Cricetulus griseus: one gene and its partners. Each later gene encodes a partner of the first gene's protein in a complex. Links are inferred from orthologs where the notes say so. Each region holds a gene or a part of one and is shown on either strand. Other genes may lie near its edges.

Evidence for each region.
Region 2: Prpf4 (region 1) and Lsm5 share a complex: the UniProt entries of both Homo sapiens proteins name them as parts of the precatalytic spliceosome. The link is inferred for Cricetulus griseus from reciprocal best matches to the Homo sapiens genes PRPF4 and LSM5.
Region 3: Prpf4 (region 1) and pre-mRNA-processing factor 6 share a complex: the UniProt entries of both Homo sapiens proteins name them as parts of the U4/U6-U5 tri-snRNP complex. The link is inferred for Cricetulus griseus from reciprocal best matches to the Homo sapiens genes PRPF4 and PRPF6.

What each region holds. Positions count from the first base shown.
Region 1 is NC_048595.1:83,446,513-83,450,163, forward strand, and holds part of Prpf4 (U4/U6 small nuclear ribonucleoprotein Prp4), read right to left. Parts: intron 3,077-3,651; coding exon 2,954-3,076; intron 2,840-2,953; coding exon 2,732-2,839; intron 2,652-2,731; coding exon 2,533-2,651; intron 2,079-2,532; coding exon 1,885-2,078; 3' UTR 1-1,884. UniProt on the Homo sapiens protein: Plays a role in pre-mRNA splicing as component of the U4/U6-U5 tri-snRNP complex that is involved in spliceosome assembly, and as component of the precatalytic spliceosome (spliceosome B complex).
Region 2 is NC_048601.1:84,604,873-84,608,623, reverse strand, and holds the start of Lsm5 (U6 snRNA-associated Sm-like protein LSm5), read right to left. Parts: upstream 2,836-3,751; 5' UTR 2,760-2,835; coding exon 2,714-2,759; intron 1,795-2,713; coding exon 1,699-1,794; intron 1,421-1,698; coding exon 1,393-1,420; intron 471-1,392; coding exon 398-470; intron 5-397; coding exon 1-4. UniProt on the Homo sapiens protein: Plays a role in pre-mRNA splicing as component of the U4/U6-U5 tri-snRNP complex that is involved in spliceosome assembly, and as component of the precatalytic spliceosome (spliceosome B complex).
Region 3 is NC_048599.1:257,650-261,300, forward strand, and holds part of pre-mRNA-processing factor 6, read right to left. Parts: intron 3,273-3,651; coding exon 3,134-3,272; intron 1,173-3,133; coding exon 1,053-1,172; intron 580-1,052; coding exon 403-579; intron 1-402. UniProt on the Homo sapiens protein: Involved in pre-mRNA splicing as component of the U4/U6-U5 tri-snRNP complex, one of the building blocks of the spliceosome.

The DNA of each region.
Region 1 (3,651 bases):
TGAGAAGCTTACAACTACAGAGGAAATACGGTTAGCTATAACTGGAATCAGATTAAAATGTTTTGCTGGGAGTGGTGGGCATACCCCTTTAATACTAGCTCTTGGAAGCCAGATGCAGGTGATCACTGAATTTGAGCTTAACCTGGTCTAATACATTAAGTTCTAGACCAGCCAGGGCTACATAGTAAGACTCTGTAAAAAAACAAAAACCCCAAACCATGTTTTGCTCTATACCACATATCCATAACCCGAAGGGGGCAGGACAGAACAGGAAGCTGGCAGAGTGTAGTTTTGAATACGGAATACAAGTTCATGCTAGTTTTACTCTCTATATAGACGACCTTCTTACATTACTGTCTTGTGTGGATTTTACTGTTCAATTCTTGAGGATATATACCCACAGTGGGAAGGTGAAGAGAATCACAAGACTGATGAAGAATTAGGGAGCTCAGACACAGCTCACTGCTGTTGGCTTCCCTAGGCCAACAACTCTATTAAAAAAAAAAGCTGTACACCCTTTGCACCTTGAGATGCAGAGGCAGGAGCATTAAGAATCTGACGCCAATCTGAGCTACACAGAAAGATCCTGTCTCAAAAAAACCCTACCCCTTTCCCCTGAAAAAGCCCTCTATAAACATCTGTGAATAGTGTCAGAAATTGGACAATTCACCCCTGGAATTACATTAGCTCTCAAAACTTAAAGAGGACCTCCTTGAAAGACATTTTTATGGTAGGATTTTACTCTCAGCAAGTGTATAATAAAGAAAAAATGATCATGTTTGGGAACACCCAAACATAAATTAGGGATTTTTTTTCCTTATTTACTTTGACACGAAGTATCTTTTTAATACATAAAGTACACCCTTTAAATAATCAACAGGAAGGAGGTTGTACCACAGACATGTTTGTTTTCTAAAAACTCCTTTGAATCTGGATACAATGGCCTTGTTTTATCTCGAAGGATGCCAAACTTCAAAGCAAAATGGAAGAGGTTTTCCCCAACAAGGCAGACATGTTCAGTTCTGAGTTCCCTGATGCAGTTAACATAGCTGTGAACTCCACAGGAAGAGGCCAATCTTCTTTGCTTCTGCATCATCATGCAGCTGCAGTCTACTGCTTGACAGACATCTCCTCTGGAGCAGGAGGGGAGCTTGCTCAGGCCCCGCTCAACTAGCACTTAGAGCAGAATGCCCCCGCCTTTTGGTTTTTTGAGACAGGGATTCTCTGTAGCTTTGGAGCCTGTCCTGGAACTCCCTCTGTAGACCTGGCGGGCCTCGAGATCTGTGAGTGCCTGTCCCTGCCTTCTGGCATGCCCTCTTAACTGGGGGAGTTTCAAATGCAGTCTGCTATCTTCCTGCTGAATCACATGTAGTACAGAGCACATACCATGTTACAGCCAGCCACTTTTCAAGCATTACAAAAGCAACTGTAAGGCCCAGCAGCACACTTCTGTAATGCCATCACTTGGAAGGCAGAAGCCAGAGAGTCACTTAAAATGTGAGGCCTCCTGTCATAGACAGGACAGTCAGGACTAAACAGACAGACCCTGTCTCAAAATACAAAAAAGAAAAAAAAAAAAAAAAAAAATCCCAATCCTGAGTACTGAAACCGAAAGAGATGGGAGAACATTCAAATCGATTAGTCTAAACAATGTCTACACAGTTTATGGTTTATGGCAGAACCTGAGATGAGAATTGTATTCTAACCATGAAGGGTTTGCCATCACCTAGAGACTGGGTTACTCAGAAGTGGGGTTGTTGTGAAAATCCAATCCTACACATGGTATTTGGCAGAAAACATGATAGAACACAACACAATTCTTTTCCTCTGAGGAAAATGGCTCCTCGGTGAGAGCACAAGGTCCAAGTCCTTCCATGGTCTTGCCTACTCTGCCATCCAGAGCTTGAAGGTCCTGTCATATGAGCAAGTGGCTATGAGTTGCCCATCAGAAGAAATGTCTAGGCCCATTACTTTGCCCTCATGACCAGCCAAAGTCTTCAATGGGGACCAGCCTGGGTGGGTCCAGATCTTGGCTGTGTTATCATAGGCACCTGTGAGCAAGAAGTCTCCATGGATAGCTGCAGGAGAAATTAAGCAAACATGAGCAATTAAAAAAGGGCTTAAAAAAAAAAAAAAAAAAAAAGCACAAAGATCTGCCAAAACATATTAATCTCAGACAAACGTAACAGAGTCTACATTCCTAGGGGGCCCTGTACGATTAAGGAACAGTCACGAGCAGATTGAGGACAACCAAGTAACGGAATGAAGTCTATGTGCTCTTTCCCTGGTGGACAGTAACATCAAGCATTTAGTGCCTGACCATTCATGGAGGACAAAATGGAACAGAACCTGAACAGAAGTCTTAGCCTCAAGAAGCATATTTTGCCATAGCTTTGTCTGTAGGTATGGCAGAAGGAAGGAAATTAAAATTTGCTTCTGTAACAGAGGTTCCATGTCTAAGTCTAATGCCTGGCATGTAGTCCATGAAGCAAAGGGTCTGATGTTAAGGCTGAGAACAAGAGCAAAACTTACGCTCAAACTTGACACCGGTCACTAAGTTCTGATGAGCAGGGATGGTGTAGACACAACGTCGTTGTCGAAGGTCCCACACTTTGCAGGTGTTGTCACCACTGCCAGTTGCAATGTGGTAGCTGTGGATCAGAAGTATCACAGTTAGAAACAAAAAGTACTATCTGACCAGAACCCTTCCCGTTCACTGATTGTGCTTTACCCATTGGGGGAGAAATTTATCCCATAGATTTCCTTCAGGTGGCCTTCTAGGAACATAATGCAACGTCCTGTGCGTAGGTCCCAAACTCGACCAAATGCATCCAGTCCCCTGAAGAAACAACATACATGTGAGTACTCTAAACCCAGTTCCACAGGGAAGCAGGGATGCCTAAGAGGTGAGACTACTGACCTGCCCAACCCTTGCTTTGTGGAGGAAGCTTACCCAGTGCCAGCCAAAGAGCCATCTTGATGGAAGGCAATGTCATACACACCCATGCTGTGGCCTTCCTGATGCAGGATCTCCTCTTGAGCCTCTAAATCCCATAAGCGCCATGAACGGTCGTAACTTAAAAACAAATAAAATAAACTATACCAACAATCAACAGCAGACTGAGTCAGTCTACTATATACAAGGTACTATAAATATCATTCAGTCATACTAACAAGAAATTCCTTTCTGGCATAAACAATGCCTCACCATTCAAGCCTGTATGTCTTAGTGACAACTGGGAGACCAAGAACATTTTGTACTTTGCTTTAGCAGGTATTTTCAAAAAGAATTCCCTGGTTTGGGGTTTGGGCTCAATAGTAGGGGGCAGGGCTTGCCTCGTATGTGCAGGGCCCTGGGTTCAACCACCAGCACAAACAAAAACAAAATTCTTAAAGAACAGTTTGGCAAAGACTGCATTTTTTTTTCCTCTCCTCATTCTATTGTTATATCCCTTCATCCATCAAGCAAGCATTTGTATATTTATTGGGCATAAAAAAAAATTCAGATGGACAAATAGAGCAGATACAGAAAAAGACCCAAATATATATGATCAGCTTTCATTAGGGTGCTAAAACAATTTTAATAGAAATCTTCAATGATGGCAACAAACAGGCTATGGCGGTACAAATACAGAAAAAAATAAACTCAAG
Region 2 (3,751 bases), on another chromosome or scaffold:
CCAGCTGTATTAGAGAAAAAGAGTTTATTAATAACACTATCATACCACCTAAAACTCCCCATGTGCTCCTCATGGACCAAAGCCACCACTGTCTCTCCCCTATCCTTCAATTCCCATTTCCCAGATCATCAACATCTGCTAGTAATCCCAACATTAATTGATGCTTAAGAGTTTCAACAATGGTTCCTGATGAACTAAAGGTAATAAAGATTAATAAGCAAATGAATCTTAAGGCCCAATGCTCTTTCAATAGCTGCGTTGGGGCACTGATCACTGAAGGCTCCCTTCCCATCCTCAGCATGTCTAGACCGTGAACACTGAGCTAAGCAGCAGTGTTCTGTAATCCCTGCCCTATAAAAGTAATTAAATTCAAAATAAAACAGCTTTAATGTCTTACCATCGTTATATTATTTCCATTTAGTAAAATCTGATCTAATTTTGTAATCCTTCTTCCTTCTGGTGTAATTTCACTAAATAGATAAAAAATGGAGTCAGGATAAACAAGTATTCAAAGGCAATTATTTTGGAAACGCTTTTCCTCTCTAAAAATTATTCCTGGGGTAAAGAGGTTAGCTCGGTGGCAGAGCACCACCTGGGTGGCAGAGCACAAGGCCCTAGGTTCAATCCCTAGCATCAAAACTGTTATTCTTACATATGAATGAATGTGAACTCATACAATTACAATAATTTTCAGCAATACAGTCTGCCCACCAGATAATAGTTATGTAAATATAAAACTTCATAAATACAGAAGTAAATATAAAGATATATTACAAAGATATAATATAGAAGTAAATGTAAAGTCACTATAAAGCGTGTTTACACTAATTTCTTAGAAATTCAGGAATAATGACATTAAGATAATAATCTTCTGGCCCAACCTCACAAATACCGGTAAATAAGTCAGCATTAAAAGAATTCCAACAGGTAATACTTTATCCATCATACTAATCCTGCTATTGTAGTTTAAATGAAAATGGCCTCCACGGGCTCACGTTGACAGAACTGTTTGGGAATGGCTAGGAGGAGTGGCCTTGTCTGAGGTGTGTCACTGTGGCGGTGGGCTTTGAGGTTTCAAAAGAATAAATTATAACCAGTTGGCTCTCTGTTTGTCTCATGGTTATCTCAACATAGAATCACTTAGCTATTGCTCCAGCCCCACACCTGCCTGCCTGCCTGCCTGCCTCCACACACCTCACCATGAAAAAACGTGGACTCTAACCCTCTGAAACTGTAAGCAAGCCCACGCAGTAAACGCTCTCTTTTATAAACTGCCTTGGCCATGCTGTCTCTTCACAGTAACAGAAAAGGAACTAGGGTACCTGCCTTTAATTCAAAAAGATATTTCCTCCTCTCCTCCCCCATTTATTTGTCATTTTTAATACTACTCACAACTCTGTGACATCTTCCAACACCATATCTGAAATTTGTTGTTAAGAAAATAAACAAGGTTGAATTTATTCTGGTTTATGTTTTTGTTTGGTTGCAAAAATGTTCAACACAATGGTGCAAATTCAAAAGGTTTGTTGTTGGAGAGAACCCTATCTGCTTTCTGCAAGCACACCTCTTAAAATGTTACCAAGTTCCTGGAAAATAAATAATTTTTAATGTAATAAACAGAAATATGTCATCTGTCTACAGCTCTTATATTAATACATCTTTAAAAACCTGTTCCATGAACACTTTTTAAAAGGATACTGACAAAGTCATCAAATCCTAGAAGTGTACCAACAATTTCTTTATCACTCTTCATCACAATGTGAATTCTTGATCCTATACACTTGTCCACGAGCTCTGTGGAAAGAAAAAGATTGTTTTACCCACTTATTAGTTCAACAAGCATTCGAGTGCTCACTTTACTATTTCCGTATCATTAAAGAGAAACAAAAAGCAGTCACTAAATAACTACATCTTACACAAATCTCCGCTCAGCCATTAGCACAAATGTTTGTCTTGGCCTTCGCTTACCTCCTTTTTTGCTGCAACTAACGGGACTGTGATTTTGACTATTTGGTTAATGTATGAAAAACAATTACACCACAAGGTGGAAACCATGTTAGTTTTTCCTCATCAGTGTTTCTGCCGATGAACATACCCTGGAGTGGACCCTGCAAGAACTTTCCATCATTGCCACATTGACTAACTTCACCGGCGCCAAAACATGACAGAGGAGAGGCCTCACGACCGACACCAGCTTCCTGTCACTTCTCTCATCTTGCCTTTAGCTCTGTGCTTGGAGACCAACCTGAGCATCTCCGTGGCCAACCGAGAACTGCTCGGCACGAAGTCTTTCAGTGTGCTATCTGAAAGCAATGGCCGTAGTTTAAATTCGTTATTCAACAGTACCCTGGCACGGGGAGGGAACTGCTTGATGGATGGATGAATGAATGAATGAACGAACGAATGACGGAGCTAGTCTCCAGATTTCTTTCTAGGAGTCACTGTAGACCGTGGCGCCCTCCTCACACCGCCAAATGCAATACAGGGGCTCCCTAAGGTGTAGACCGGAAAGGCCACACTGCGAGCTGGGCCGGCACCGGGACATCTTAACCGGCGAGCTCACAAGCAAGGCCGAGGGCGTCCTTCACCAAGTGGGGCCCCCGCCGGCCGCCGACAGACAACGGGCTCGGTCTCCGCAGCGGCCCCAGGGGCAAGCCTCCGGCGCGGGCGTGGGGCCGCAGCAACCCGCCCGCGCCCCGGGCGAGACTTTTACCTAGCGGCAGGAGCTGAGACGGGTTGGTGGTCGCGTTAGCCGCCATGGCCACGCCGGAAGTGGCATAGGGCTACGGGCGCAGACTTTAAAAGAGCGCGCTTCCGCCCTTTCCCACAACTGGCTCAGACGGAACTAATCGGAGGCAGATCTGGCGATCGCGGGGTATCCAAATGGATCACCGACAGACTCGATAGAATAGTTCCGCACTATATCGGTGCCACCATCCCGTGCCCCCGAAGTTTTGCTAACTTGACAGTTTGTCTCCTCTATATCTGCCTGAAGACTACAACATACGAGATCTCTGAGTCGGCTAGTTTTCCTCTAAAAGGTTGGATCTTTCTTCAGAGCCATAAAATCAATGAGGATTTGCTATCACCAACTCGTTCTGCGTTTGTCTCAACTACTACTCATTTTCTTAAGGAATCCTGTACTTTTAAGCCTAGAGTACTGAAAACCCTTACGAAGCATCTTTTAAAAATATTCTATACCGAGTATTCAAAGGTTTTTTTTAATTTTTGCTACTTTATTTTATTCTGGTTTTTCGAGGCAGGGTTTCTCTGTATTGTTTTGGGGACTGTCCTGGAACTCGCTCTGGAGACCAGACTGGCTTCGAACTCACAGAGATCCGCCTGCCTCTGCCTCCCCAATGTTGGGATTAAAGGCGTGCACCACCAATGCCCGGCTTCTTCTTGTCCTTTTAGAAGTCTAGTTTATTGCAGGCTTTTGCAGTTACTAACACTTATTGATTTACAGGTAACTGCTAGATGTCACTCCGTATGTTGGTGTCATCACATTTGGAAAACATGCTATCACACTTGTGTTTTGGAAAAAGATAAAAAGCTGCTGTGAGGAGTGGCCAGCAATCCCAGCGCTTAAGAAACAGAAGGAGGCCACAGTTGCCAAGCATGGACAACTTAGTAAGACCCTGACACGAAATAGGAAATAAAAACTAATGAGAGCTTAACCACCTTGCTTAGCACTAGAGTGCTTTCCTAGCATTCATGACTTCATGAGACCTGGGTTGTCCCTACTTAAAAA
Region 3 (3,651 bases), on another chromosome or scaffold:
AGCATACATTGAGTATACATTATGCTACTTCTGATGTACCAAACCCCATATATCCTAAACACAGAGTGTGCAACTTTGTAGAAAGGAAAACAGTATCCATAACAAAAGGAAGCATAAAAATTCAGTCTCAAGCACAAAGCTCTATCACAGACCACTGGCCCTCCACTTCTTTCAAAAGCATGGGAAATTGACCAATGTCATGCTATTCCTTGAGACATCTTTCCCCCTCCACCCCACTAAGACAGGGTTTCTCTGTGTAGCTCCAGCTGCACTGCAACTCACTTTGTAGAGCAGGCTGGACTAGAACTCACAGAGATGTGCCTGCCTCTGCCTCCTGAGTGCTGGGATTAAAGGTGTGCTCTACCATCTCCTGGCCCCTAAGACATCTTAATAGAGGCTCACCCCTTGATTATAGGCCTCTCGGGCCTTCTCCATCAGTTCCCCCTGCTCCTCAATCTGCCCCTTCATCATCCACAGCTTGGGGAAGTCTTCATAGTGCCTCAGAGCCTCCTCACATAACTCCTGGGCAGCAGTGATGTTCCCCAACACCCACTCCAGCTTCACAGATTTCATGAATACCTGTAAAGCAGACAAGCACCATCACACCAGAGTTGTTACTTCTACCATCTATCTGGATGCTAACTACCTTCATATCACACACATGACATCATAGACATCGTTCACACACATCTGTCCTGTACCTCATAAGTTGTTGTATGTAGCTCTTTTGTATATACAAGAGGTATAGATAAATAAAGGAATGCCTTTTTTTTTTTTTTTTTTTTTTTTTTGGTTTTTCAAGACAGTTTCTCTATGTTGCCCTGTATACCAGGCTGGACTTGAACTCACAGAGATTCACCTGCCCCTGCCTCCCAAGTGCTGGAATTTAAGGTATAAGCCACCACCGCCCAGCTAAAGAAATGCATTTTAAAGCCCAATAACACGATTGGGCTGTGGCATGAGCTGTCCTACTCATCTCACTCCTTCCCAATGCCATGTATGAGCCAAGAGGCACTCTGCCAATACTGCCCCACCCACCAGCCACCACTCACACGGGCAGTGGGTGCGCTGCTCCGTGCCTTGGCCAGCAGCCTCCGGGCTCGCTCGTATTCATTGTTCTCGGACTCCAGCTTTACAGCCGCCAGCCAAATCTCTTCACTGTTGGGGTTGGCCTGGAGAATAAGCACAGCTGCATCAAAAAGGCTCAAAACAAAAGTGACCAGGGCTAGACCACACTTAATTAAGAACAGGCAGTCTGAGAAGTGAACTGAACCTCACTCTGATACAGGACTAGTATGCTTCTGCACAAGCTAGGAAATGTAGATCTCAGCTTGGGGGGGAAACACACACACACACACACACACACACACACACACACACACACTCTCTCTCTCTCTCTCTCTCTCTCTCTCTCTCTTTTACTCTTGTACAGAGATGAAGCAACAATACTAGTATTGTAGAGCCACCCTCTCTAGGATGCATCTAAATTCTGCACGGCCTTTCAAAACTATGATTGGCTCACTCACATCTTTGCATCAGAATCTGCTACATCTAACTTCATCCCTTCCCCTCAGGTAGCCCATGTGGTCAGGGTAGATCAAGGTGAGATAATGAAGTGTAAAGGGTTCCCACAGGCATGGACCAAGCTATACAAACTTAAGAGTCCAGGGGACATAAAAGTAGTGCCTCATAATGTGTACCTACCCTCCTTAAAGACTTCTGCAACATGGCCATGGTGTCTATGGTTATGGTAAAAGTGAACCACCTTAAAATTCTAGCACACAACTTGAGGAGAAAACTGTATGTAGAAAGGACATCACTTATCTGGCACAGCACTATCACCTATTCCTATAGTCTCTTCGGATAACAGCTGTACTGACGCAAGTTAGCTCTTCTGGTGCTTATTTACAACAGACAAACTTTACTGTTGCCCTGGGCTATGATACTAGACTGGTTCAATTCCCAGCAACCACATGGTGGCTGACAACCATCCCTTATGAGATCTGGTGCCCTCTTCTGATGTGCAGATATACATGGAATCGGAATGTTGTATATATAATAAATAAATAAAATCTTTTAAAAAAAGACACAGACACAGGAGGATAGCACATGCTTCTAAAAAAATATTAGGATCATTTTTTGTTGTAAAAAAATTTAAATGTTACATGTAGGTTAAGGAGATGGCTTAGTGTGTAAAGTGCTTACTGGACACCCACATAAAAGCCAGGCATGGCAATGCACATCTGTAACCCCAGTACTAGAGGGTGTAGTCAGATGAATTCTAAAGACTAATTGGTAACCAGGTGAACCAAAGCTGTAAGCTCCAGGTTCATTGAAAGATCTTGTCCCCAAAACAACAACAACAACAACAAAAAACAAACCCAAAAAAACAAAAACAAAAAAACCCCTCAGGGTGTGTTAGGCAGCCCTGCACTCAGGAGGCAGAGGCAGAGGCAGAGGGAGTTCGAGATCAGACAGTTTACAGAATGAGATACAGATAGCCAAGACACAGAAAAGCCCTGTCTAGGAGGAAAAAAAAAAAAAGTAGACAGTGATATAGGAAGACACTCTAGGTTGACCTCTAGCTTATACACACACACATTGTATGTATTGTAACAGCTAGGCCTCATTAGGCCAGTAAGTCTATCTGTTTTAGTAACATTGTATGTATTGTAACAGCTAAGCCTCATTAGGCCAGTAAGTGTATCTGTTTTAGTAACATTGCATGTATTGTAACAGCTAGGCCTCAGCAGGCCAGTAAGTATATCTGTTTTAGTAACATTGTATGTATCGTAACAGCTAGGCCTCATTAGGCCAGTAAGTATATCTGTTTTAGTAGGACAGCACTCTCACAAAGGCATTAAGCACCCAGGCAGCTTACATTGTGGTCTTGTACTCTGGAGTACCTGGCCTATAGTCATATGAAATAGAAGGGAACTGAGGCCAGTGTGGCTGGTTGCAATGTTCCTCATGCTTAGGCCTCATAGACAAGGCCACCCACACAATCCAGTGTCTCTAGACTAGATCATGACATATCCCAAAGAATATGCACAAGGTAAGCTCTAAGGCCACAGTAGCACTAACACTGAGTTTGTGTTCATGGCCCCTTCCAATACAGGCATCCTTTACCTACCTGGAAGGCCAGGGCCAAGATGCTCCTTGCTGCAGGCACATCCCCTGCCAGCCACTTGGATTTGGCACCCATGAGCCACAGCACCTCTGCCTTGGGGCAGTGGGCCACAGCCCTCTGCAGGAGTGCTTCCAGAGACTCCCTGCAAGAGAAAGGCCATAGTCACTAGGGTCAGGGCCATAAATCAGAGCACACAGCCATCTAGATGCTGAAAAGACAGCTACCACTCCAAAGTTCGGTACTATTAATGATTTACGAGATTTTACGATGGGGAGAGTGTAGGGAAATCTTTCTTTCCCATAAAGAATCTAAAATCAACTACTGAAGAGGACTCTATAAAGCAAAGCATTGTTTAAACAGCAAAGCCTTTTACAGCCATGTATCCTGGGGGCAGTGATAACATGGCAGTCTGGTGACAATGAAGGCCCTTTTATCTTGAAGCACAGAGGACACCCTGGATTCATTGATAAAGATTAAGGTCCCTGGCACCCATAACCCCCTCCCCCAAACAAAACAAAAAG